4 linked regions of the Styela clava genome follow. The protein of the gene in region 1 purifies or fractionates together with the protein of each later gene. This does not show direct contact. Links are inferred from orthologs where the notes say so. Each region holds a gene or a part of one and is shown on either strand. Other genes may lie near its edges.

The links.
Region 2: the proteins of FAS-associated factor 2-like (region 1) and ubiquitin-associated domain-containing protein 2-like purify together in Homo sapiens (affinity purification with western blotting; 7 studies listed by BioGRID and IntAct, with this or other methods). This does not show direct contact. The link is inferred for Styela clava from reciprocal best matches to the Homo sapiens genes FAF2 and UBAC2.
Region 3: the proteins of FAS-associated factor 2-like (region 1) and nuclear protein localization protein 4 homolog purify together in Homo sapiens (affinity purification with mass spectrometry; 3 studies listed by BioGRID and IntAct, with this or other methods). This does not show direct contact. The link is inferred for Styela clava from reciprocal best matches to the Homo sapiens genes FAF2 and NPLOC4.
Region 4: the proteins of FAS-associated factor 2-like (region 1) and E3 ubiquitin-protein ligase AMFR-like purify together in Homo sapiens (affinity purification with western blotting; 9 studies listed by BioGRID and IntAct, with this or other methods). This does not show direct contact. The link is inferred for Styela clava from reciprocal best matches to the Homo sapiens genes FAF2 and AMFR.

Annotation. Positions count from the first base shown.
Region 1 is NC_135256.1:23,646,699-23,654,233, reverse strand, and holds the start of FAS-associated factor 2-like, read right to left. Parts: upstream 3,013-7,535; 5' UTR 2,867-3,012; coding exon 2,771-2,866; intron 1,637-2,770; coding exon 1,517-1,636; intron 1,413-1,516; coding exon 1,195-1,412; intron 713-1,194; coding exon 589-712; intron 125-588; coding exon 1-124. UniProt on the Homo sapiens protein: Plays an important role in endoplasmic reticulum-associated degradation (ERAD) that mediates ubiquitin-dependent degradation of misfolded endoplasmic reticulum proteins.
Region 2 is NC_135261.1:15,005,985-15,013,524, reverse strand, and holds the start of ubiquitin-associated domain-containing protein 2-like, read left to right. Parts: upstream 1-4,533; 5' UTR 4,534-4,652; coding exon 4,653-4,674; intron 4,675-5,195; coding exon 5,196-5,323; intron 5,324-5,413; coding exon 5,414-5,533; intron 5,534-6,120; coding exon 6,121-6,212; intron 6,213-6,428; coding exon 6,429-6,597; intron 6,598-7,257; coding exon 7,258-7,359; intron 7,360-7,540. Other genes in the region: uncharacterized protein LOC120329411, read left to right, coding at 1-1,623; ubiquitin-conjugating enzyme E2 J2-like, read left to right, coding at 2,170-2,859. UniProt on the Homo sapiens protein: Restricts trafficking of FAF2 from the endoplasmic reticulum to lipid droplets.
Region 3 is NC_135262.1:3,006,216-3,013,078, reverse strand, and holds the start of nuclear protein localization protein 4 homolog, read right to left. Parts: upstream 3,024-6,863; 5' UTR 2,973-3,023; coding exon 2,410-2,972; intron 1,627-2,409; coding exon 1,458-1,626; intron 408-1,457; coding exon 221-407; intron 1-220. UniProt on the Homo sapiens protein: The ternary complex containing UFD1, VCP and NPLOC4 binds ubiquitinated proteins and is necessary for the export of misfolded proteins from the ER to the cytoplasm, where they are degraded by the proteasome.
Region 4 is NC_135257.1:56,307-63,439, forward strand, and holds the start of E3 ubiquitin-protein ligase AMFR-like, read left to right. Parts: upstream 1-4,132; 5' UTR 4,133-4,179; coding exon 4,180-4,426; intron 4,427-5,952; coding exon 5,953-6,095; intron 6,096-7,133. UniProt on the Homo sapiens protein: E3 ubiquitin-protein ligase that mediates the polyubiquitination of lysine and cysteine residues on target proteins, such as CD3D, CYP3A4, CFTR, INSIG1, SOAT2/ACAT2 and APOB for proteasomal degradation.

The sequences.
Region 1 (7,535 bases):
CATCATCATTCGCAAGAGTGTTATTACAAAAGTCTGGAGTGTCTTGGTGGTCTGGTCCATGTAAATAAACCAATAAAAATTGCATTTGTCTTCGACACTCATTTTGAGCATCTGCATAGGATCCCTATGAAAAATAAAAAGCTTAGTCGGAACTGCACAATATACATGTGGATGATGTGATATTCAAAATTTGAAAATATATAATTATAATTATGAGACTCCAGAAATATAAAAACTAATCATTTAGAGGAATTCCGTAAATTTCTTGCAGACGGACACTTTTTTGGTTGAACAAGCAAGAAAGCATGTAAAATTCACCTACCCTGATTCAAGTAATATACTTAAAAGACTTGTTCAGAACCATTTTATTATTCATGATCAACTTCTTATTGTTTGAAGTCTTTGTTTGAAGTGAAGAATATATAAGGCCAGATGCAACAACATATGGTGAATTAATTGCTTAGAGCTTAGACAATGAAATTCAAAACTCAATTTTATCAATAACTAATAAATGATCAATGAGAAAGAAATTAAACGATTTTCGTAGGAAAATTATATAACAATGTGTTTGAAAATATGCAAAAATACCTGAAAAAACACTGGGTGACGTTCACCATATAATTCTTCATATTCAGTAATAAATGATGTTACATCTCCAAGAGGATCTGTTAGCCTTGCCCTCGTGTCAGGCAGAAAGAGACGCATAAAAAACCTGTGGTAAACAGTCAGGAGACACATGAAATATAAAGCGTAAAATTAATAAAAATTCAATAGTTATCAAATTTAAAAAAAGGATCATTATAGGGTTCTAGTTTTATTTGCCATTGTTTATTAACAAGCATTTCTTCATTCCATTTACATTTCAGGTGTTTCAAAGTTATTTTGAAATTAATAGGCCAAATGGAAGTCCAACTACATTTTTGGTGGTGAGAAATATTTTGAAGGTGTTTAGAACTGAAAGAATTGATTTCCCCTTGACAGCTATTATTCTGTTGAATAGTCTTACACACAAGGTTGCTTACAATGACATCTAAAATCAATCTTACATGACTTGTTATAGCTAAGGACTTTGGATCTCATGAATTTGAAATGCGATCGGCCTGATAAATTTTACTGTGTAATCAATTTAACAGGTAATATTCAAAAGGCTTTACACTGATAGTACTTCAGTGCAGAATTATTATGCAGAAATACCTCACAATTCCAAATAACGTTGACCATGTAAATCGGAATGGCATTGATAAAACATAATATCCCCATTCAAATATTCCTTGAGGTTGCCTCAATTGTAATCCTCTTGCTTCATACAATGTCGTATGAGAATTAGTTCTTAATGGAAGTGGTGGAGATATGGTGGCAACATTTCTTCGTCTTAAACCAGAATTTGCAGATATCGATGGTGGTAGATTTGACTAAAGAAATAAAACAGTGTTTACCAATGTTTTGAAAGGCGTAGCCAATTAATCATGTGTAATCTAAAAGATAATTATTAAAGAGGGACTTCCCACAATACAACCTGTTGAGAATTAGACATTCCTGCCTCAAGAAATGTTGACTGGACTGCACTTTCAACATTCCAATCATGTTGCCTCAAAATAGTTTTACATCTATTCAGATCGTCTATGTTGGTGATTTCCTGAAAGACGTTTTAAATACGATTTTAATATTATGACAGATTTTGGGTGAGAAATTGGTTAGGTAAAAATAGTTTGATTTGCTATAATTGCACTCAAACATGGGCATGTTAAAGTACAAAATTGGGTCTACACCTTCATTATATTACGTAAATTAGGTCAGTAGGTGAAAAACTGCTATTTATGCAGTAAAGTTCTTGCCTTAGAAACTACACAGATCATAATATCAGTGAGGTTATTATCAACACAGTCAGACGGGAAAGTAACATAACAATTCTAACGTCAAGAGAAATTAAGATCAAAAGACACAGGCAAAAATCCTATCAAAGTACTGTAATACAGAGCAATACAGCAATAGGGTCTCGCGATGTACCGTAAACGCTGTAAATCTGTAAATGTTTAAATAACGCCAAACACAAATGTGATGTAAAAATACAACCCAAATTTTCATTTTTTCCCAAACAATAATCCGATACGCTACTATAAGTATAAGTTTATTTTGACTCCATAATCAGCAATAGGCAATAGAAAAAAACAAAATAAATAAAACTGATTATAGGGTCGGGAAAGCAAACGAAACCTCAAGCAAGGTTTAAAGCGTACATATTTTGGGTGGGGAGGTATTGATAGAAGAAGTAGTACGTGTTCGCTCACCCTGTCACCTAAGAGTAGTAAACTAATTAACGCATGCATACAACGCATATACACACAAACATACAATCATCGAGACATGACAAGGTTGGGAGTGAAAAAAGCGAGACATAAAATCAATTACTCAGTACTGCAGTAAGAAGAAGAATATACAAACAAATAAAAAGAATAAATTCTTTTGCCACACCAAATTAATAATTTTATGAGTATTGTCGAATTCAGGAATTGGATACCAAATTAGTCAAAACAGCAAAAGGAGTTATGTACTGTGGATAGAAAAAATATTCCTGAAAAGATATCGTCAAGCAGATTATAATTGGAGTCACCTAATGGCAAATTGCCCAAACAGAATTGCCAAGTTGGATGCATGAAGAGGTGGGCTAGGCCTGCTTCACTCACCAGATGTATTCATAGATTAAGTTATTGTAGAATGTGAATTCATATAATTCAGTAACTGCATAGCCTATAATGATAGCAAAGCTAACCTGAAAATGAATCAGTTTTTCTGTTAATTCCTGATTCAAGTTTTCTTCATCTTCACCCCTATCATTTTCTATTACTTGCTCGTTATTGTCCGCCATACAATAATACACAGCCCTATTAGATATTTATTTCGCACCGGTACCAATCCAATCCTAGTCTAAATACTATTCAGTCCCATATATTTTCAGAAAAGAAATAATAAACTTGGCGTTCTGGTATTATAGTACTGGTACATGTACTTCTGCTGCAAGCGGTGGCTAGGTGTCGTATTTAGAAGGTTTTACCTGACTACATTTTTACGCGAATGCATATTGCAAGAATGTAGGCGCACGGAAAGTTCGGGTTCTTTTAGATCGTGGGCCTAAATCTTTTGGGATCCTGTCAAACGATTTCCAATTTACAAAATATACAGAGTTGACATCTCCAAAGTAGAGCATTTCGTCACAATTGATGATGACTTCAGAGGCGCGTATTTTGGTGGACGGGCGCGTATTTTCACGTTTTTAACTTTTCTTTAAGTTATGCCCGTCCTCCAGGTCCTATGTGTTTGTTCGTTTGTTTTTGTTTCGTTTTATACCAGAGCGACCGAAATAAAATTGATTGATTGATTGATTGATTGAGCAGGGTTGTCCAAAACGAATCGAATATTCGACTATCAAAGTATTTGAATACTTTATCTGTTTATCAGCTAATTTTAGAATAATTCCGAATAATAGCCACGATTTTTTTTACTTTGTCACGTATTTTACTGACGATGAAATAAAATCGGCATAAGATAAGATTTACCTGTTCATCCCGAAAGAGCGGGAAGCCGATAAGATGGGTTAATCATATGGAGAACCACGGTCTCTAGTCCGGTTACCAATCCGTGTCCGGTGTGGGATTAGTTAGTCAGTTATTGGACACGTTTAGTGGCCATAACGATCGTTTCAAAATTTTGTTGTTATTGTTATTTGTCTCCGTCTCCATTTTTAAAAAATCGCTTTTCTCTTCGAATACTGGACCAATTGCTTTGATATTTTCAGTGGTTAAAGATAAAATTTTTCTCCAGAAGGTTATCACTTTTTTTTCTCGCTATGACGTCATCAAAATCATTGCCACTGGGTGGCGCTACGTGTCCATATATTTGAGCATAGCTCTCTTGTTTGTTTTCAGAAGCATGAACATTGGGCATTGCCGCCATTCTCTTGCGCAGCTTCTAATTTAAGCTTTCATTTTCATTACGTCGAAAAATTAAAACTTATGTAACGCCGTATTTAATAACCAAATGTACTTACTTCTAGAAAGCCGCCAACAAGGCGTTTACTCCAGCCATTCCCGCGGCACAATATCAGTCCTGTACTTCGCGAACGAAAGTGAAATCAAAATTTAATAACATATATTGTGTACTTTCAAATGTAGAGTAGCTATAAGACACAATTTAATGAATTTCTTGAAAACGAGAGGTCAAATTAATGGGGAGTAATATTGAACACGGTGGTGGTTCACGCGTGAAATATTAGAAAATATAATTTATACTTTTTCCCCGCTTTTCGGCAAATAATTTTGATAAAAATAGGTAAAAGAATCAATTTTTACTAGGATGATTTTCTGTTACGCAAAATATTCCAATCCATGACCGATAGGCCTACTGCTAGCATTTAAAATGCTTCGTCGTATTAGTTTAATTATAATAAATATATGTTATGCTAAATATACTCAAAGTTGAAGATATAATGGAATGAATGATGAAAAATTTTAAGTAAAATTAAACGCAATAAACGCATGCTTTTTGCACTTTAATATATTTTCTGCTTAAACGTTTACATATGACACGTTAAATTTCAATCAATTGTTTACTTCATCACTATTGAGCTATGCAAAAATTCATTTACTGTGTGTTAAAAATACACAACGATTACAAACGTCTTCATTTTTTCAAATTTACTCTCGACCTCTGAGAAATAAAGTCGCTAATGACGTTAGCGATTACATTTTGTTGAAATCGCCGATTGTTGTCGTCAACGTGACGTGTTATTTAGGCCGTAAACATATTTTTTCGGTGTTAATTCTCCCAAAATCATAAATTTCCTCCGACATCTGTTTTGTGCCGTGAAGACGATAAAAATTACTTTTTTGTTCTCGCACGAAACCATGACACATGTGAGAAAAACGAGTTATTATATAATCATCAGCGACGATATGCTAAAGATAGAATGACGGAATGAATCCACAATCCAAAATTTCTTGATTGAAGAGCAGCATTATAAAATATATATATAATACTAAAAAACAAAACGGAAAAGACCATGAGGTTCGCTTTAGTAAGGCCCGCTACAGATTAAAAACGCTTTCGTAGACATTGCAAATATCATAAATTCCTTGAGCCTGCGACACACCTTTTATGTTCTAAAACTACCGACTTGAAATAAATTTTACTCCATGGAATTTTATCGCAGACTTACGTTATTTTCTAACGGTGATATCCTAAAAATAATCGAGTGGCAGCATTACGATGGAGTGGAGTAAAAGTTACAGGGACAGCTCATATTGGCCTAGTTTGTAAGAATACGAATCAAAACAAGATGTAATAAAGCAACAAGAATGAGATTTAAACAGAATTTCAAATGGGCATCTTGTGACCTCTCGCGCCCCCAGTTTAGGACCACTGTTCTAGATGTATTTAATATTAATACCGCATATTCGTCGATATCATGCACAGCTTGACCTATTATTCTCTGATAAACTGTCCTACCGGAATAACCCCAAGCTTCGCTAGCAGTATAGATCACATTAGGACAAAAGCATATGACAAAAGAAGTAAACAGTGCTGTTTTGGTAGAGAGTATTTAGCATCTCCTAATTGTACTATGCTCCCTCTTAGAAAAGCAAACTCCAAACTAAATTTCCCCCTTACAAAGGCAACATCAAAGCAGTATGGAAAACGGAATAATTTAATGAACACTTTCCCACGTGGCACAAAGCTTGCTTGACAATATGCCACAACCAGCTAGCTGTGACAAAAGCCAGCTTTCATATGGCAGGGAGAAAGAATTATCATCCATGTTTTGAGGCCAACTACATCATTAGAAATAAAAACATCGTACGCGAAATGAAGCTCAAGTCATGTTTTAGAATCGATCTTCTATCATCATTTTTCAAATGTTTTAAAAAAAATAATGTATAGCAGGATGTCAAACTATTTGAGAGCAATATTATTTCCTACTCGCATCAGTATTATTTTTGCAAGCAATACTCCACTGTTACGGCTGCTAATGTTTTGGAACATAAGCTAACCAAGGCATTTGGAGGCAAGAAACACGCTATTGGAATATTTCTTGATATTTCAAAAAAGTTTGACATCCTTTACCTCTTCTTTCAAGTAATCTGTATAATTATGGAATCAGAGGGATCCCATTCAATTGTATTAGTAGCTACCTGCATGACAGAGAACAAGTTGTGTAATATGACAATTCATCCTCTAATAATATTTGCGTCATGAAGCTCGGAGTTCCTAAAGGATCTTCACTTGCCCATTATTCTTTCTAGCCTACATTCTTTCTAGCCTCTCTTCTATCAATGTTTCAATCGTTGTTACTCAGCCATATCCGATACTGTATCTCAGTCTGGCTCCATGGAAACAAAACACCCATCTCAACTTGCAGAGTACTTCAGTAATTGTAATAATTTTTTTAAGAATTGTTTTTGGTGAAAGAAGATGTGAAAGTGTACTGTGGGCCATCACTGCTAAATATACTTAAGGTTGTAGATATGATGAAATTTGAAGTATTATCATCAGCTTACTTACGACTTTCCTAATAATGTGCTATCAAACTGCTTTGACGTCATACTTTTAAATAAAAAATACCTCCAACCGAAGAAGTAATTCTGATTTGTTCATAGCTTTCATGAGTAAATCTGTGAGTCAGCATTCCCTGTTTTTAACTGGACCCAAACTTTTGAAGACGTTGAAGTCCAAAAAATTTTGTACGAAATTAACCATAATGTATTGATTATTGAAACAAATAAATATCAAACTTCAAGGCAAATAAACTTTTTAGTCGATGGTCGATGACAAAAAGTTGGGAGACTACTCACTCGCACTTTGTTGTTTTCATGTGAATGTCGGACAGCTATAATAATATTGTTATTGTTTCTGAAACTTCTAGTTACTGTGATTAGGCGTGCAGTTGAGCTATTGTCTGCATCTTTTAAATTTTTATTACTTTTGTTTTAATCATGTCTGGTGCAAAAACACTCGTATCGGGATATGCATGGCTATTTTTCTTTTATCACACGGTAGCTGACATACCTGGATGATATTTTCTTTAAATATCTGTTCACATTTTAACCTTTTCATGCGCATGTTTCTAACCCTTTTTTGATATGGGGTCTTCCCTCACATGCATGTACATGGTTTTGGTTTTCTGTTCAAGTGGTGGTATTATAGTTCCTGCAAGATTACTAATTATTGAATTTGAAACTAGTCGAGCTATATTGGATTCTCCCCTTCAACTTTTATTAATTTGCTGTGAGTCATTTTAATTTGATGTGATTTTATATCTCTATGGAAGGATGCATTTTAGGTAAGGTATTGGTATAGAGTTGACTTGATAGCCAATATTTAAATAGTGTGATATAATCAAATTTGGGTGTTTTTGCATGGTGTGATAATTTCGTCTGTGTCCCAAACAGAATTTCCTCCTAGATCATCCAACCATCACTATAAAAGGACTATATTTCCTCAAAGCAATTAAACAATTTCTGTGTCTATAATTAATAGTTCGG
Region 2 (7,540 bases), on another chromosome or scaffold:
ACTAGTCTATATTACTATCCCAACACAAAGCTATATTACAATTATAAAAATGGGTGCTATTATAAATATAATCAGGACTCACAAGAATACGAGTTTCAGCATCAACTTATGAGCTTCAATGACACGTCAAATACGAATATTGATAGAGATGATATTATTGGAAAGCAAATAGGTGATAAAATTTTTTTTTCGTCTCTGAAAAAAGCGGTATTTAAATATGGAAAATCTCAGAAGAGTCATCTCAAAGCAATCCAGGTGAACGAACTTTGCTCCCACTTTACGAATAGCCAATCTGAAGTTGAAGGGATGGCAGAAAACAATAAAAATTGTATATCAATATGCAAAACTGAAATCGGGCGATCACCATATCATGATTACAGTTTGTCTGATTCAGAGATTGAATGCATTAAATCAACAAGGAAAAATTATCTTGTATGTAGGAAATGTTCTAACATAACGGAAACCTGTTGTTGCCAGAATGAAAAATGCTTAAATATGAATATCAATGGCAAATCAGTATGTAACAGAATGACAAGAAAAGATGAAAAAATATCAGAATTAGACAGTTGCTCTGATACTGAACTAGAGACATTGTCAACACATCCTTTTAAATTTTTGAAATGTCCAAAATGTTTGTCTTTTGTTAATTCTGTTTGTTGTGAAGGTATAACAGAGTCGAGAAAACGACGGAAAGCTTCGGATTTAGCTGAAGATTCAAATAAACGCCATTGCTTAGAAAACTTTAAGTTAGTGTGTGATGATTCTTCCAAATTTTCAAAAGAAAAAGTCATTTATTCAATGGATTGTTTGGATGAAAATGATACAGACTTGGATTTAGAAACTAATGTGATTCCATGCATTCGAGCTATGGTCACTTCATCTAAAAGTCTAACATCTGGTACGTTATTTTTAATTACTCGTTATGGTGCAATTTTTGGTTCAAGTGAAAACTGTGAAATTCAAATACAAGAAGCTGATGTAAGTCCAAAACATGCAGCAGTGTTTTATAACCAACAACAAAGAAATTACTTTGTCACTGATTATGGGAGTGAGAATGGAACAACTCTAAATTCTATCACCGAACATAATCCTGGTATAACAACTGTGCTAGCCAGCCCTATTACACATAAAAGTGTGCTAATAATAGGAAACACTGTGTTTGTGTTACATCTGCATATTGGTTATGATACATGCGATGACTGTGAACCTGGTCAAATCCAAGCCATGATTGATACAAATAAGACCAATAATTCAGTTGAAATTTTGACAAAAAATGAAAAGGAAAAACAAAGGCGATCTGAGTTGAAGAATATTAGGAGAAAATATAATTTACATAATGATAAATATAAGCAATCGGAATTCGGTATTGAACCGCAGTATGTGGATAGAGCTTCTGAAAGAAGGCGATTGTTAGGCAGTGATAATCCATATGAAAAAGATGAGATGCCAACTTCAATGCAAACAGAGTTGGCCGATCACAACAAAGGCCACCAAATGCTAAAGAAAATGGGTTGGAATAAGGGACAGAGTCTAGGAAAATATCAAACAGGGATTACAGAACCTATTGCACCTGAAGGAAGTGGAAAAGGGAAATTCGGACTTGGTTACGGGAAAAATAGATAACGTTTGCTATAATTTACCTTTGCTATTGATGTTCTTGTATTGAACTATCTGGTGTCATAAATGCAAATTGTACAAACATTTTTCACGATACTCATTTTAATATTTTTCAAACATGAATTGGTGTCAAACACAGTTGTATAAACACATTGTATGGATAACAAATTTGAAAACATAATTCAAGACCTAAGTGGTCTGTCTAATTAATCTTGCTACCCAACTTCTGCCTCAACATCGTCTATGACAGAACACAGAACCATTCTTGAACTTATTTTTTGATGCAAAATTGTGTACGTACGTACCACTTGAAAATATGCTTCTGCTGTATAAAAAACAAATTCTGGAGTTATTAATGAAGAGAAATTTGTCACTATCACACCTTGTCCGTACTTTGTTACCCACAAAAACTATTCGCCAGAGTGCATGGATGCTGAAAATACCACGGTAAATCCTTTACTGAATTTAATTATTTGTTTGTGCAATATTTTCTTTTGTTTTTACAGGAGTTACGGTATCTTATAATAAGTTATATTTAGTGACAGAAACAATATGTCTCGTAAAAGCTCATCTGTGCAGCGTGCACCAACGACGGCTACACAAAGACTTAAACAGGACTATCTTAGGTTAAAGAAAGATCCAATTCCATATGTCACTGCAGAACCCCTGCCATCTAATATTCTTGAATGGCATTACTTGGTGTTAGGACCCAATGACACACCCTATTTTGGTGGTATATATCATGGAAAATTAGTCTTTCCGAGGGAATTCCCATTCCGCCCACCTTCTATATACATGATCACCCCATCAGGAAGATTCAAATGCAACACAAGATTGTGCTTATCGATAAGTGATTTTCATCCAGATACTTGGAATCCTGCCTGGTCTGTAGGAACTATTTTAACTGGGTTGTTAAGTTTCATGGTCGAAGATTCTGCCACATTAGGTTCTATTGAAACATCACACTATACAAAACGTCAACTCGCACTTCAGAGTGGACCATTCAACTTGAAAGATTCAGTTTTCTGTGAACTATTTCCAGGAGTTGCCAAGGAAATTAGAGCAAGTATGAATGCTCAAACAACATCTCAGACAACAAATGCTAATGTAAAAAATGAACAACAATCAAACGCTGCAAATGAAAGGGAGAGAGACAACCAATCTAATCTTGTAAATTTAGTTATTGTTGCCGGAGTTGCTCTATTTGCTCTTGCAGTTAATAGCGTTATTCAAAGTTTATGAATATTATATTTGTGAAAAGTTTATATCGCAAATTTAACTTGATAGAAACGATATAGATCTTACGAAGTATCGTACTTATTACAGCCGTAAGCCCGTAATAAGCCAACTCGTGCTAAAAAAAATTTTGCTTAGATGGCCTAAATCACTGCACCTCTGTGCTTGTTTATGTGAATTAATTTGCAATGCTCATTTACTTGTCAAAGGATACTTCTGTAATGCCTGCTTACATTATTGCTGAATATTAGATGTATATTAATTACGCTCCATCGATAAGGTACAATGTGAAACTGGAATACAGATAACAAATAATTACTATGGTATGATGAATCGTTAATATCGTTTTTAATTTATATGGTATTCTGAAATTTTGAACCTTAAAATAGTCAACCCAATACTTATATTGTCAACACCAATTGGATAGGACTCCTCTGTTTCATATGACTAACACTATTTGGAGGAAACTTAGAAATGTCACTCAATAAATTCCATCAGGAATACAAAAAATCATCAATGTTGCATATTGGAATTGTTTATCTTTGAAGGAGTAATTTCAAATCATTTATTGTTCAATTGTAAGTTTATTTTTTCGATGTCCTGATGAAATCATGGCAATTTGTATAATTCGGTCATTATTCAACTGAGTATTCAACACTCATATTTTTTGCTTTGCGACAATATTTATCGAGTGTATTGTATTTTTCATTGGCAATCCATAAAAGGAGTATAAATATTATGTTGTGGAAAGTTGAGATTATAACCCTGTTACTTGAGATAACATGTAGGTATTTTAATGGCCATACCCATGGGTTAATTCATTACATACGACAACAAGGCTCACAATTATTAGTCAGCATTGGTGATATTCTAGTCAATTCAGAAAAAATTAAGGATTCGATATATTTAATAATGAATCATATGTATTTCACTGGTCAACTTTATCTAACTTCCGTTTACCGTTTGACAATGTCGTTAAATTATTTAGATTACTTAACATACATTGAATTTCCATACATGCTAACTTTTTTGTACACCTGAATCGAGTGTTTTTTCTATTGACTTCTATGTTATGTTTTAAATAAATTAGCAGTTCTAGGAGTGTGTAAGAGTAGCATATGTAATGTAATAGTAACAGTCTGTTTTGCTCCACTGTGAATCAGTTTGCTATGTTGTATATAGAATATACGTGTAAATATCGTTTTACTTTGTTGAAATGAGTTCCAATTGGGCACCGTGAGTGAATACATTATATAGAGGAAATATTTTTTTGATTGGAAAATATTTTTGTCGTCACCTTAATGGCAATGTTGGTTATGCCTCTTATGTGTATTTATTTCTACATATTTTGATGTTTTTGATTTTCAATTCGGACAATGTATCTGAAAACCGAACTAAAAATTGCTTTGGGATTTTGGGATGTGGTACTTTTGTAGGTATACTTTTGAATCTGAAAGGGAGGGAACGTTTTTTGCCAGTTTATTATAAGAGTTTGTTTCTGTGTTTGTGAAGTGCAAAAAACAAAAAGGGAAAATTTTGTTGAATTTTCAATCTAGTGACCATTGATTGCAGGTTTTGTGATTTTCTTGTATGTCCACACCACATGATTTGTCTTGTATGTCCACATTTGTTTTTTTCAAACCTTCAAATTCTGTGCGAATCTTTTATTTCATTATCTTATATTTTGCGTTTGTATCATATTATGTCATTATGTAAAACATTAGTCTTCAAATTTTGTCATCTATTCAAATCCATGGACTGAGCTCTTCAACTTGAATATTAACATCCAAAGATTCACTATGAATGAGAATCTTGGATTCTGTGAGTATGACATTGTTACCTTTTGACTAGTACACATATCGCTATTTCAAAATAAAATATTTTCTCGATACAATGAATTATCCTAATGATGCATATTTCATATTTAGTACATGGCATGGAGGAGCTGATTTAAATTAAATTGCAATGGCTCCAACCCCAGCTCAAGCTTTATTCTTTACCTTGGAGCTAGGCTCAGGCTCTGCAGTCATTGAGGTTTTTAACATCACCACTAACATAAGCCCAAATGCAGTTTCGAAAGGTTTACTCAAAACTATGATATACGACTTACCGTACATATTTTTTCACTAAACTTTAAAATTCATCTGGAAATTTTCAAATTAATATTAGAAATTAACGGTGATTTGTTCGAAATATTAAAAAAATTATTAATGGTAAAAAATTAAATAGAATTAAAATCGCAACTTCCGATGAAGCGAGTAATATCAAAAGCAATCTCTATTTATTAAATACATGAATTTTTCAGCCTCATCATTATTAACAATAATCTTTTGTTTTTACAGATAAACGCACAATATCGAAATGTCTTCTCGTGATGTATTTTACAACATATGTTGCTGTCAACACATTACTTCATGAATATAAAAATTTCTTTGTTTACGATATATCAAAGATTTTAAATAAATTTGAGGTATGCATGAATGTGATGATTATAAATAAAGCGCCCTCTTTGTATCTAACATACCTTTTGTATTAATGTGTTCACAAATTTTTTTTTTAGCTTTGGAGGCTTCTGACAGGAAAATTTATATTTTTAACTCCTCATGAGTTCTTTTTTGGAAGTATTTTATTGTACGGGTTTTCAGATTTTGAAAGAAGATTCGGTTCATATAAGTTCATGGTAGGTGAATTTTTTTGTACTATTTTTAGCGAAATATCTCTACAGAGGAAAAAGTTGAGTGCCTTTGAACTGAATAAAGGCATTAAAGAAGTAGCTAATAGTATGTAAGGAATTAACTAATCTTAAAAAGTCATTACCTAATGACTTTTTAGTATTCCCTCCCATGAATGGGAGTTGAATCTGAAATTTTTAACTTGTGATGTTACGAAGTCCCAAGGCTCTCGCCACTCAGGGCAGGGATAGGATTTACATATTTATCCTTGAGGGAGAGGGAAGCCGATAAGACGACTTAATCATATGGCAAACCACAGCTTTTCGTCCGGTTACCAGTTCATGTTGGGTATGGAATTAGTTGGCCAGTTATTTGTTGGAAGCATGAACTTGATGGTGGAGAAAGTTGTAGCTGACCAGCGGTTATGTGAACCACCCTACAGCGTCGATGAGTCCAGCAATCTTCTCGCACATAACTAACCCCGCATGGGATTCGCACCTGCAAACCAATGCAGTGTAATCAGAGGTGCGGTGGTGAGCGTATTCCTAACATGTTGCACCATTTTTTAGCTTATACTGGATTTTTCTTTTTTCAGTCTTTCATTCTATGCAATTGGCTGTTGACATCATTACTTGAAGTTGCATTTACCACTTATTTCAAAGAGATCAAGATATTGCCATCAGGAATGCAAGTTTGTTATCTGTATACTTATTATTTATACAGTTCAATGTCGTAGTTAAATAAGCATTTGACAGCTAGGCGTCTCTATTACTGACTGATATTCAAGATAAGTTGAAGAGTTTGTGTAGGAGAATAAAACCCAGTATGGTTATTTGAAATTATGTCCGGTTGTATTTGTAAAGATGACTAAATTCGTGAACCTATTCTTTGATCATGTTTTAGGTACTGGCTCATCTATGCTCTCTTGGTGTTTTATTATCATGATATACCTGGAATTGAACAGGCTCGATTTGGCCCAATTAGGATTACTCAAAAAATACTTCATTATGGTCTGGTGGTCCAGATTATTGCTACTGATGAAACAAGATATCCTGTTTGTGGACTCGGTTTGGTAAGTATATAGTGAACTGTAATGGGTTAATGCATAATACTGTACGAATCAACCAAATGTATGATATAAATAGAGTGATTATTACTCTTGCAGATGAAATTGTTTCCGAGTGGGGTGGGATAAAATAAATTTTGTATATTTTCACTGGAGTCTGAACCTGAATTGTATTTTTAAACTCCTTGATGTCGTGTCGAGAGTTTAGGTAAAATTCTGAATTATCTGGAGACTGAGCCAGATTGCAGGCTTATAATGTCCAAACTTCCTACTAAAACTAATAGTTTAACTAAGCGCTCTTACCAGACAATTAAAAAAGGCTTGCATATGCTGAAGTTTTTGTTATCAAAATTTGATTTTCTCTAAGAGTTTTTTACAACCTGGAGTAGATTGTAAATTTTCTCCTGCTTCACAGCCCTGGAGGGAAGGTGCAGGACCATTTCTATCCTATTTGTTGCTATGTAAATTCGTCTTCAACCAAATTTCCTTTCAAGCACAGCTTGTTTATGAACCATGCCTTGTTTTGCTGTTGATTATCAGATCTAACCTTGACTTGCACTGCTGTTTGCGTGCTTCCAAAATCCTTAATTAAATAATTTTTTATTTTGTCATAAATTTATAAAAAAGTATATAAATGTATATAGTGAAAGTTTGTTTTACATTCAGATTTCTGGACTCATTTACTATTATAATATTTTGTATGTTGGAAGTTTTTTATCATTACCAGATACATTTCGAAAAACCACAGAAAACTATTTAGAAATGTTGGTAAGTAGAATCAGGGTTTATTAAAATCTAGATGCACATAGCCCAAGATTGTATCAAATCTATCTACCTTGTAGACAAGCACCTTGATCCACCATATATATTATAATGATCTGTAAAATTTGTTCAATCATATTAGTTTTTGCCGGAGAGTCTGTAGATAGAAATGTTTGGTATGACACAT
Region 3 (6,863 bases), on another chromosome or scaffold:
GCTTCGTTGCTGTCAGTCGTGCTTCATAAACAAAATCATAGCGAAGTATAAAATATCAGTAAAATATGTACAAGTCTGGCCAGAATAACCCCATATCAACAAAATGGCTTCAACGCTGTCAGTCATGCTCCATAAATTAAGGTTCGATAGTAAGCGCATTAAACGCATAGCACGATGTTGTCATTACCGAGTGAACAAACATAACAGAAGGCAACAATACCTTTAGATCTATCCTCAGCAACCAAGTCTGAAATGATCCAACCAACTTTCTGAAGCCCAAGTGCTTTCGCTACTTTCTCCACAATCTCTTGATGAGGGTCGGGCAGGATCTTCAGCGAGTTAGCCGAGCTTTCCTGTGGTGGCTCATATATTGCACAAACCTCTGCACGAATGCCGAGTGGTACTTCCTAAAATAATAAGAATAGTTCAGAAAAAACAAAACTTGAAAAAAAAAGCTGTTCTGGGAAAATGGGGAATTTTAATTTTTAATAAACTCTTCCAACTTTTAATAAAAATACTTTGTCGTGAACAACACTTAAACTTTGACTAGAAAACCACTTTATAAACCAATTTTTATAATTTTTTTAAAAGTTCCCAAATTCACCCTCTGTCCTGAAAGCCTCAAATTGTATTGTAAAGAATAATCATGATCTGAATAACCCGAAGAAGCAAAACTTGCAAAAGCTCTTTCACACTTCCTGAATAATATGTATATCACTGTCAAAAGCACTCTCAACAATGCATAGTATATTGCAAAGCAAAATTATTATTCAAAGACGAGACTTGAAAAAAAAATGTTTTTTTTAAATTTTTCAATCTTTCTTATTTGCATTATATCAAGTATTCCCATCAGGCTATAAAAGGGCAACATCTAGTTTTGCCATTCTGTCAGTGCCTTTGTGACATGACAAGATTTTGCTCTTGTTCGAGTAAGAGAGGTCGCCAAAATATATCGTGGAAATCAAACTTTCCAGAGCAGTTTTGATTCTTTCATCTTGGATTTTATTTTCCCCTTAATTAGAAAAACCAATTCAGTTTGGAACTTGTATAAACACTTTTGTATATCGTTTATCCTCGCATATGAGCCGAGTTCAAAACTTGACAAAAATGTTGTCAAATTAATGTGTCAGCTGATACGCTCTTACAACTCTGGGATTGGAAAGATGGAGAAGGTGATAGTGGGGATAAATTTTTAGGGATTTTGAGACACTTCTTGCTGTTATTAATAAAAGTTAAACAACAATAATGGTGATTATTTTCATTAATGCTCTTCTGCAACCATTTGATGTGACAGGTGAGTACAGTGAGTTACAATTTGTAGGATTTGCTTATATGCAAATTTTTATGAATTCAACGTTTTAGGTTCGTTTTAAGGGAGTTGGCTGATATGCAAGATCAGCTTATAATATGCGAATTATATATATACGGTAACGAGTATATATTTCTTCATCTTATACCTTATGTTGAGTATATCTTCCATACATGAATCCCATTCTCTGGTTTCCACTATTCCTCCAATAATTCAGGAATCTATCAGCGACTTCTCGATTTTCAAACATAATATTATCAACATGACGAAATTTTTGTTGATTCAGAGTGATTGCCGTTGGAAGGTCGAGGAGAGATCTAAAGAATGAATTCAAAATTGAGATTAGTCTGAAACACAGGTTCTCAACCAATGGAACATGCATGGCCCACTGTTGGACCAAAGACCTATTAAAAATTAGTAGTAATTTATTTGTGTCCCTATAGTTAATTTTGATTGTAGCAGCAATGAATGACAATGCTGTTTTCTGCTACTGAGTGGTAATTTTCATTCTAATTATTAATGTGAAAGTGTCCATTCTTGTGGGAAGATTTAGTATTTCTTGTAGTTTTTCCTTTGCATAAAGAAGTTTTTGGGCCACAGGATTATTGTTAAACAAAAACGGGCCATGATTGAAAATTGTTGAGAACTACTGCTCTAGAATAAATCTAAATGAAATTATTGTTTCAAGAGGCAGCCGTTGTTTACATAAATTTTTTCCGCTAGAATAAACAAACTTGTACATTGCTTTAATTTTGTCAGTAGTTGTATTTAGCTGTTCATTCAATACTTTTCAGAGCAATTTGTCTGCGATGTATTCTCGATATGATACAGACAAATTAATTCAAATATTCTCTCCAAATAAATTTTAAGCAATTTCTATGTCAGTATCAATTTCGAAAATAAACTTTTTCCAAATTGACAATTCTACAAATGGCAGTATCTATAAACTATTTTAAAACTTCAAAATTTGTTACACGAAACGTATTTAACTTAAAATCGTTTAGAATATTCATTTTAGATTTCTCTCGTCACAGATTTGATACGCATACTAATTGGAAGTAACAACCTTAATCAGAGATATAAATCAAAAAATCTCAAACCTTTTTTCTTCGCTAATCCCTTCTAGTTTGCAAGCAGTTCTGGTACTTTCCAGTTTAAAGTATTTCCCTTTGTCCACACCAGAAGTCTGTTGGCGCATGTACGCATGAAACGATAAAAACTTAATATCCTTTGATTTAAGATATGACTCATCCCATGAGTTTATCGGTAGATCATCAATCTTAAACATTCCACCTCTGACAGAACTCTTTTCATTTTGCGGAATCCTACCATCTTGTTTCCATAATTCTACGTCAATTTCGTCCTCTGTAAATTTCACTATGGGCGGGGCTTCGTTTTCAACCACGCCTCCATCTCCAGCTACGTTCATTCCGTCAGTGAAGATAAGATAACACATATCTCCATGTTTCAGTTTTTTGTTACTCAATTTTGACCGTGACCCCTTTTTAAGTTCATTTGTTCGGTCACGATTTTGAAACAAACACCAATTTTCATTTGCAAGAGCAAATTCCTCCGCGACCTTCCCAAGAAATGATGTAACCGTCTCCGAAGATGTTACCTCAACCCGTTTTGTACCATCCTTTGACTGGATTCTAATTATCATTATGGTTTAATTATTTTAATACTATATCTGTAAATTAGCTGCATGGTTAGAAAATTGCATATAAAGCGTAATTACAAGTGGTAAGGGCCTACGAGGTTTGCATAAGCAATATCAACAAATAGAATGTTTCCATAGATCAGTGATTTTGAACCTTTTTGCAGAAACTGGCGAACTTCCAGAGGCTTGAAAAATCCCTGTGCAATAGCTACGGTAAATTGTCTTTTATTGTCAGAACTGTATAGACTATAAATTTGCTTTTGTAAACTTGGTACTGGCAAAGCATAATCTTGAAAGGGTAGCATATTTTCAAAATAGTGGCCAATATTCAAACGAGAATATCGGTCGGAGACCCACCACTTATTGATCGAAAGTTAGGGGATCCCCCAAAACAGAAACTGCGGTTTCGATACCTTCACTATGACTCAATAGTGACACCGCGTGTCCCATCACTAATCAATAACTCGCTAATTATACGATATAATTCATCCTAAATCAATAGGCTTCTGGTTCGAGATATGATGAATGCACATGCAAAATTTGGAGCAGATTCAACCTCGCTTTCGTGAGATATCACGTAACATACGAAAGTGTCTGACAGACAAACAAACAGACAAATACCTATCAACATACTACTGATCAAGATCGATAAGGAATAATTTGCATAAACTTTCTGATTTTAGTAGAAACTTGCGGAACCGCCAGACTGTCTGTATTGGTGGAACTGTAGGGTGTAGCAGGAAAATGTTTGAAAACCACTGTCATAGTATATTATGCGTATGCCTCTCAGGTGAAGCGCAAATACTAAACAGAATTGATAAAAAAAAAATGGAAAACGAGTCTTCTTTGGTATAATTTAGGCCTATTACAGAGTGAGAAGTTTGGACAGAATATTCTTATTCGAAATAAAAGGTTTCATTGCTGCCAGTCATGCTTCATAAATTAAATCATATCAAAGCAGAGTTTATGTAAAAACATCACAGAGAAGAGAAATATTTTAAATATAAGTCTAGCCAGAATTTTCTCATACTAATAAGAGGGTTTCGTTGCTGCCAGTCATGCTTCACAAACTGAATCATACCAAAGCAAGGTCGGCTCACTTAATTAAGTGATTGGGATATTTTAATACTAACGAAAGCGTTTCATTGCCAGTCATGCTACACAAATATTTTTAAGGCAGTAGACTACTCTACTACTTGCATACACAAAAGGATAGTCAGTAAGTGGCATTGTGTGAATCTTTATAGGCTATGTATATAATATATTGGTATTCAACATCCACCATAAATTTTCTTTTCCTACAATGGGCAAATCATTGGTTACCGATAGCCTAATGAACAAACAGTTAATTATATTTTTCTTAAAAATAAAACAATTGTGCAAAATATAAGAAATCATCAAAAAAAAAATAGGATAGGATTTACATATTTATCCTGGGGGAGAGGAAAGCCGATAAGACGGCTTATCCATATGGCGAACCACGGCCTCTCGTCCGGTTACCATTCCAAGTCGGGTATGGGATTAGTTATATTGTTTGTTTTCGGAAGTATGGACTTGGTGGTGGAGGAAGCTGTAACCGACTAGCGGTTACGTGAACCACCCATTGACGGCGAGGAGGCACATAACCGTCCCTGCAAACCCACGCGAAATAATTAGAGATGCGGTGGCGAGCGTATTCCTAACGCTTAGCCCGTTGAGCCTCACCGCCGCGCCAAAAAAGCACCAGTGGTAGAAGGACATCTCACAAGGCTATGGGACTGGAGTAGAGAGTATCGACATAACAGCGAAAGGATTGCTAGACTTTTCAATGCTGTACAGTAATTCACAAAACTGCTGGTCGGTTACGGCTTTCTTCGCCATCAAGTCCATGCATCTGAAACAAATAACTGGGTGACTAATCCCATACAGAGCCAGGCAGTCCCGATAAAACATAACAGGAGATTCTCTTACTAACTAGGCTATACAAATGAATTCTAATCCATGAAGTTAAATCAACCATAATAGCAGTATCCAGAAATCAAGATGTAATATATGTACAGTCATCATTCAAAAAAGAGCAATATTACCACAAACACTTCCCACCTAGAAAATAAGAGTGTTCCCATTACAAGCAATTCTAACCTCACTCACACAAACATGGAAACATAGGAAAAATTCAAATGTCAAAAATTTAATCAAGCTGAATTTTTTAAAGGTACTTATGAGTCTTGTTAAAAACCACATACACTTCCCACCTGGAAAATAAGAGTGTTCACCTTGCGAGCAATTCTAACCATGCTCACACAAACATGAAGACATGGTCAGAAATTTGAATGCCGAGATTTTAATCCATCTGCAATTTGTGACTACTCCTATAAAACCACAAACACTTCCCATCCCAGAAAATATGAGTGTTCCTGTTACTAGCAATTCTAACCACGCTTACACAAGCATGTAAACATGGGCATAAACTTGAATGTCGGTAATTTAATCCAGCTGCATTTTATGAATAATTGTAAGTCTCATTTGTGACCAAGAACATTTTCCACACAGAAAAAAAGAGTGTTCCCATTGTGAGAAAGTTAACCAAGATCCACTTTTCCAATATTATCCAAGTTTCCTTGGTTGAATATATATCATGGAGGAAAAAATCAGGGATTGAAATGAAGGAATTGTAGGTAGGAAAAATACAATGATTTCAAGAACTGGAAATTCAGAAAGTTCACACAGTTTTATTATCACGATATATGAAGTTTGATATAAAAAAATTGCAGAATCATTAAAAACATATAAGATTTTTATTATTTATCTCAGGAGAAAAAAGTCAATAACGAACATAATTATAAGGCAGATATAGAATCTCATGAGGGAAATAGCTGATCAGATAGTCATTCCAGATTCATGGACATGAAAATATAAACGAGCAAAATAAATTTTTATTGTTGGATTGATTTAGAATTGAAATTTGAAAAGTCTAAATGGATTTCGATATAAAAACAATTGCATAATTGGAAAAAACAGTTTTCACTGAACTTTTCATATTTGCACTGGGAAAACAAGAAAATGGATAAAGCGGTTCAACAAGACATAAAAATTGTCCATTTAATATAACTGAAATAAGATATGAAACAAAATATCTAAGAAACAGAAATCTATACGCAATGGTCCCATGGTTATATCGCCATGTGAAAACAAATTAAAAAGGGGAAAGGTGTTGCTGATGATTTGCTATAGGCTCGGCGGTGTGGCGCATCGTGCTAAGCGTTAGGAATACGCTCGCCACCTCATCTCTGATTACCCTTCATGGGTTCGCAGGTTCAAATCTCATGTGGGGATGATCATGTGCGAGAGGATTGCTGGACTCCTCTCCGCCGTAGGGTGGTTCACTTAACCGCTGGTCGGTTACGGCTTCCACCACCATCAAGTCCATGCTTCCAAAAATAAATAACTGGCTAACTAATCCCATACCAGACCTGGACTGGTAACCGGACCAGAGGCCGTGGTTCGCTGCCATATAATTAAGCTGTCTTATCGGCTTTCCTCTCCTCCGGAATAAATATGTAAATCCTATCCTATATCAACTTGATCAAAAAATCATACGAAATTCAATATAACCCCTGAAAAATGAAACCCAGATCCTATGGAACATATACTAGAAAAAATTTTTTTGCAAAGCATTTAGATTTACTAAAACTTTTGGGTATAAAAAAAATTCTGTGTTGAATAACTTTTAATTTCTCACTACACCAGTGGTCACTTGAAAACATTCCACTAAAAATAATCAATTATAATCATATAGGGTCAAAAATGCATTCGCATCTTCGATATTCTTTTCAAATCCCAGACATCATATTTAGCTCAATAATTTGAACATGAATAATCACAGCATAATCTTTAAATAGAACAGTCTTTAAC
Region 4 (7,133 bases), on another chromosome or scaffold:
TTTTCCAAGAAAAATTTTCTCGAGCATCGTCTTCCTTGTTTATTTCGTAACATTGGCCAATCAGCAAGATGCAGAAAAAATGACGTAATAATGGGCCTTTTCGCATCCGCTCAGACACTTTGGTCACCCTGACAGATTTTCAGTCGTGGTTGTAAAAAATACTTCATTTTTTGCGATTCTGAATGCTATTTGTTAGTTTCTGGTTGTGTTTGGGAAATTTAAGTACCGTATGAATCAAATAAGTCAATCATCATTTGCCTCTTTAGGAGTTGTAGTTTTAATAGTAGTAATGAAAAATTAGTCTAAGAAATAGCTGTGACAAAATGGGCTAAAATTTTCTACCGGGAGGCAACGTTTTCTGCGAAAGATGCACTCGCCGAAACTGTTTACGTCTTCGTGCTAAAATGAACGTCGAATGTGCATTTTGCGCTAACAGTACTGTAATCCCTTGCGCACTGGTCCAATTTCATTCTTTTTGACAAAAATATTTGTCCGGCCCGTTTCAACACAGTTTGAGTCATACCCGGCCCGCGTTCAAAAAAGTTTGGTGACCCCTGCTATAGACCTAAAACACCACCGTAGAAAATGCCAAAAGACTGACAACTCACCAGGCCTCTAGGTCAGTAGGTAGTCGAGTTGTCTCTGGTGAGTTGTCCGTGTAGTTGAGTTGTCCCTCAGCCGTTTATACAACTTCATCGCCCCCCCTGCACTACAAAAAATGTAAAGTCTGAAACGAATATATTACAGACCAAAAAGGAAGGCAAATCATAGTTTATAGTGTTTTTTAATTAGATGGATGAGCTTGGTGTTCTTCAACAAGTTATTTATTATATCTAAAATTAACCCGTTTACTGATGAAAAGGCGATTTCGTTGTTTTGATAGCAATAGTAGCACGGTTGAAAACCCCCTTTTCACCATATAATAGGTCAGAAATGAAAGAATTCAGGGTTCTACCTCCATAAAAACCGCCGTGTACGGTACTTGCATTATAGCATTTCACTCCCTAAATTCACCCCATTTCCACAAAATAATGAAAACAAAGTTAATTTTCCCAAATTTATAATGATGATTATCGTACATCTAATTCATTCCTACAGCCAAGACAGCCTTTTGACCTGTACCAAAATACTTCGGTAAAATTCATCCCCGATTCCTCAGTCTACCACGATCTCCAGTTCATAGAATTAATCAGCCATTTGTTTTTGGATTCATGGACTCGGATGTGGAAGAAGTCGTGACCGACTATCGGCTACGGCCCAGGGGCAGCAAATTTTATGTCACTCGCGGGACAAAATTCAGAGTTGCTAGTCTTTTGCGGGTCGCTTTTATTTTTTAAAGTTAAAAACGGAACAGTGCGCAAAAACTGCGACAATTCGTGAATTCAACTCAGTCGTCTTATTAAAAAATTATTACAATGACATTTAATGTGACACTGTCTTGTTGCTGCATCACGCTTGATAGCTTTACGACACCAAGATTGGTACTTTTTCTAAATGGGCGTCACTAATTCATCACCTAGTTCTTTGCTTGTTCTTTGTAATGTTCATTTTCGGAAATAAATTTGCGCACAAATATGTACTTCCAAACATCGAAGTGAGTATTTTCGCATGGTTTGTGAAATTTTGATAAAGATATTCTTTAACATTTTTACAAAAATTAAGCAGTGATTGAACCTCTCGAATAGAATATGAATTTTATTTCCCTATTGCATTGCAATATACTGATATATTCGAATATTTACTGCGCTATTGAACCCCTGCCCTCAGGCCTCAGCATCAACTTTTCTTCGTGTTTCCATTTGTCTAATTATAATTAAATTGTAGGCTCGTTAAACGAGTAGCTGGTCAATGGAATTTTCAGGATATAATAAAATTTAGTCTAAAGCAGGGGTGTCAAACTCGTGGGTTTCCGAGGGCCGCATTGCATTTTGGGAATTGTGCAAAGGGCCGCAATCAGTTTTTGATATATATATTTTGATAATGTATACTTGAAGCATATTTTTAGATGGGTGTAGTTTGTGACATATATTGTGATGCAATTAAACAGTTGAATAAAGTTTTGTTATCTTCCTAAATTTCAAATGACGTTTACATATTAATTATATTATTGCAATTTACCGTAATTACGAAAAATCATGAATTTTTATGTACAACTATCCAAAACATTTTTAAACAAAGTTTTGTAAAGGGAAGAATAATACATGCACTAAAAATGACTTACCGGAATCTAAATATATAGACCTAAAATTTACAAAAATACTACAGAATAAACTCAATGTTTTTTCATTACATATGTCTTGACATTTTGTATCTCTTTTGTGCAACCAGCTTACTAATATCAGGCTGAAATGATTTTACAGTCCCAACTCTAATTAACGAAGTCACATGATCGTCGGTTAATCTGGATTGTTGAGAATGTTCAATTAATTTCAGTAATGCAAAAATATTACGTTTATCATCCCATGTATAAATCCGTAAACAAACAAATGACTGACTTTTCGGACCAGATATTTCACGACATTTCCTACCATTACGTGGCATAGGACCGCTCTAGTTATGATTGATATTGATTTTTAGTAACTAGGTAGTTGTATAATTATACTGTAATAATATACAAACACATGAAAAGTTTATTTTCGAAGTTGATCTCTAAATTTGTCATATTGATTGCTGAGCATATTTTGATAATGTCTACTTATATTGTATTCTTTATTGTACTGAGGAAATGTGACAAATCGAACAATGTGCTCCATTAGTATTTTGAGAAATGCAGAAATATTGCAGCTCCCATTTTTCTTTAAAAATGCCATTTTCTTCATGTACTTTGCGTTTCATTTAATCCCTGAAGTCCTGAAGTGTTTTATTCAAGTATTTTATTGCTAGCTTGAGGTGTATTCATAATTGGGTCAAATTGAAAAACATTTTTATTTTAATTTTTCAGAACTACTTTCAATAAATTGTCGTTTTCTGTGTCAATAAACAATTTCACTTTGAAAGGTTCGAAAAATGTATTACATTTAGATAAAAAAAAAAACTTACAAAATATTACAATTATTGTTAGGCGTCCGAGGGCCGCATTGTAAGTTCTCTGGGGCCGCATGTGGCCCGCGGGCCGCGAGTTTGACAACCCTGGTCTAAAGTAGGCTCACGATAAATTCTGTTGTCTAAAAAATATAATTTACTCCTCGAGCGTAGATTATAAATAAAATTAATTCATCGTCAAAACCGCCGTTTGGATGTTTCCCCAGGCATACCCTTCCTTGTTTACTTTGTGGCATTGCCCAATCAGCAATCAGCAAGATGCAAAAATAAACGTAACAATGCCCCCTTCCGCATCCGCTCAGACACACCCTCATTTTCGCGTTTTTTTAAATATATTTGTTAGTTTTTAGTTGTTTTTCGGAAATTTAATATAAGTCAATGATTACTTTGTCTTCCTATGAGTTTCAGTTTAAATACAGTAATCAAAAAGTGTAAAATAATATGTGATAGACTAGGCTAAAATTCTTTATCGTCACTTTTAAAAAACAGGAAGAATTTTTCGCGGTCAAAGGTCGGGGAAAGGTCCATTCAGTGAATCGTCCCTGAGCAGATTATTTTACTCCGGCCGTATTTTGCCGAGCGATACGCGAACTACCGTAACTTACTGCGAAGACGAGTCCAGTAATCCTTTGGCGTGTAATAATCGCCCCCGTGATTCAAGCATGCGAATGCACACAGAGTACAGAATTAAGTGCACGATGCGTCGAACAAAATCAGGTTTCGTGAAATCGCCCCCTTTGACTTTTTCGCCCCCCTCTGTATCATTTTCGCCCACCGCCCACTTTGGGAATCACTGGGCTAGAGTAAGGTAACCTTGGTCTGTTTAGGTATCGTAATTTAGGTTTCGTTCCGATAATTGCAGGACAGCAGGAACTTGTTTTTACCACTGTCCCCCAAAGTTTGCTGTTTTACCTGGAAAATCACCTAGATGTAGGCGTATATAGATGTATATAAAATGTCCTTTGAAAGACAGAAAGATATCTTTGGTAGGTTTATGTAAAAATTCTTCCCAGTTCCGGTTATTTATGGTCTGTTCCGGTTATTAAAGGAACCCATTATCTGTAGACTATACCGGAATATTAATTTTTTATTTGTGCCACAATTGCAGAAAGTATTTGTTAGGCAAAAACAAGTAAAATGCCTTCGTCTTTTGTCCTTCGAAGGATACCTGTTATGCTTCCAAGCATACAGCTATACACAGTAGCAAGCATTCTATTGCTTGTATTAGTTGTTTTTTGGGCTGATAAGGAACACACAAGAATGAATTCAAAACAATCAGAAAACCCATCAATGACTGTTGATAAGTTTCATACACATCAACAACCAGATGTTGAAATGTCCTCTGTTTCTGAACGAGGCATGTTCGGTATATCTTATGTTCAAGGTAGGCTACCAAGCTTTTGAAGTTATTAATTTGTCATATTACTGTATTACGATTGGCTTGTAAATGGAAAATCGACTGCATGTAGATGTCCATTGTATCATCCTTTACCATACACCAAGATCTATAATATTGATTTTTTTTTCATGGAGCAAACGTTCTCTGTGAAAACCTTGTTTATTTGTATTTGACTACTACTTTTTTTGTTTAAAAACCCGTTATTTCTAGTCGACCATTCATTCCAAGTGCATAACTCTTGATTTTGTATTTCATTTTCTGACATAAAAAAATATTGGCCCATGCTGCATTCGGAGAAGTAATCAAAAAATCGCACTTAGTGTTTTTTCGTCATAAAATTAACCAGAAAAATCTTTTGACATATTGTTACACCACCAATGTCTCTGAATTGTCCGATGTTATGGCTAGCTGAGGCAACTAGTGAAGTTGAATGATGTTCTTGGCAGTCCTTCTATCTTTTTGGTCAGGAATATGCTAACAATTTTAGCATCATAAGGAGCTTAAGTTCAATGCCAATTCTTTTAGCCTAGGTTGGCTGTGCCTGATAACTAAATGTTATTGTCATGGTCTAACAATATAATTCATGTTGGGTGTTTATTGCGACCATCCTAAACAGAATTACAAAAAATGCTGCCTATATTAGTAATTACCCTCGGCCTTGATGTTCGGAAGCATTTACATTTGCAGAAACACTTTCTGTTTTACAGAGTTCGAAATCTTACCATAAATAAAAATATAGAAAGACTTTTGTATGTTTCAGTAAGTTTTTGGTGGTTTGGCACTATTGTGGCCTGCGAACAATGCAAAAATAATTGTGTGGCCTCCGGAGCCAACAACCTTGGACCACCCTGGTCTAGTCAATAAAATGTGAAGCCAAATACTTTTTTATACAATTTTTATTAATGTGAACTATGAAGGTTTTCAGTCGTGGATAAACACGATCATATTATGAGCAGATTGTAACTTGGTGGGATGCCAATATCCTCGGTTACATAATAAATCTTTTCATCATCCAACTGTCTTTTGTTATTATAAAAATTTAGCATTGTTGTGTGATTTAACTGTAGTTATGTGAACTAGTCACAATCTTCTTTAGGCATTCAACTCCATATTTATATATTGAAATACCATCTTCAAAAGACCAGTTTGATCCATGAGTCATTATAGGTATTTGTAAAAGCAAGTGAGAATATAAATTTGCAATATGGGCAAATCTGGTTCTAAGGACACATCTAATCTGATTTACTGTAAACCTGTCAAAGTGTTAATGATTTCACCCAGATAGGATAGGATCTATTCAAGTATCATCAAGTTTGATCAAATCTCAGAATTGATGTGTAAATTTGCAGTTGTAAAATAAAATAAATTGTTCTGAAAGTTGTATTTCATTGGTTGTTCGTGTGAGGAGAATATGGGGCACGATACGGTAGAGCAGACCCTATAGATAGGCCAAACTAACATAGATATTATATAAGTTGATTTCTGGATTGCCAATGTTTTCTTTTTTTCAGGAGTTGTAATAATCATGCTCGATGAGCCCCTTACTCTTGGTGTGTTAATCAATGCTGCTTATTGTTTATTTGCACTTGGCGCAAAATTTATTCTCAAAGTTGTATTTGGAAACTTGAGAGTTGTAGAAAGACAACATATTAAGGTTTGATATATTCCATGGCTATTACCATTTTTTTTTCTCTGTGTAAAACTTTCTAAAAAAGTTTGAATGTGATCTGATTGACTAAACTAATGTAATTTTTAAATTCTTGTAAACCTTAAAAATTGTATCTGATCGTGCCATGCACTGGTTTTATTTTGTCGCATAACATTTTATTGTTTTTTGAGTGCCCACAAGGGTGAATGTAAAATTTCTATTTTAAACTAGGATAAATTAATAGTAATATTTTTATGTTTTGAATTAGTTTGTACTGTAGCCTTTCACTTTTTATGTGGTTTATAGAATTGAAGGAAAAGATATTTTGGAACAGTTCAGAAAAAAAGATATCCATTGTATTGTTTTTGTTAATAGTGCAATTTTGATTCTTATGAACTTAATTAAATATTTAAAAATTGAAATGGAGAACATAACACAGAATGGTGGATGTATTCTAACTGAATAATGATGAATATAATATAAAGTTGTACTGATATTGCATCATACCATGTCTCATTTCTGAATATGTTAATTTAATGCCCTTATATAAAATCAATAGGCATGAGTCAGCTTGTTTGCTGTACTGTCTGCCTCATGCCATCAATTCAATGTTTACTGAGAGAAAACAACCATTTTTCGATGTTACATTATTTTTGTTGTAAAATTTTAAAGATACGTTAAGATGTCATTATTAAAATATATTTTATATTGATAAAATCATGGTATTAGGTATGTATGTTTATTTGCCTCAAAAATGTAACAATCTCTGAATAATAATTAAACAGTAAAACAGAGACTGGATACATGTTCCAGACCTTACCCAACACCCCTAACAATTATAACAGCAGTTTAGGACTGTTGCGTTATAATAGGACAACGGGCATGAAATATGCTATACAAATACAACTCAAGTAAAATACACAAGACAAAGAGGTACGACACAACGACGATATGTATAATTTAGTCAGTTTGTTTATGTCCATGTCACAGTTTATGGCTTCCATTACAAAATGTTCAATAGAAAATTTAACTGATTATTTTTAT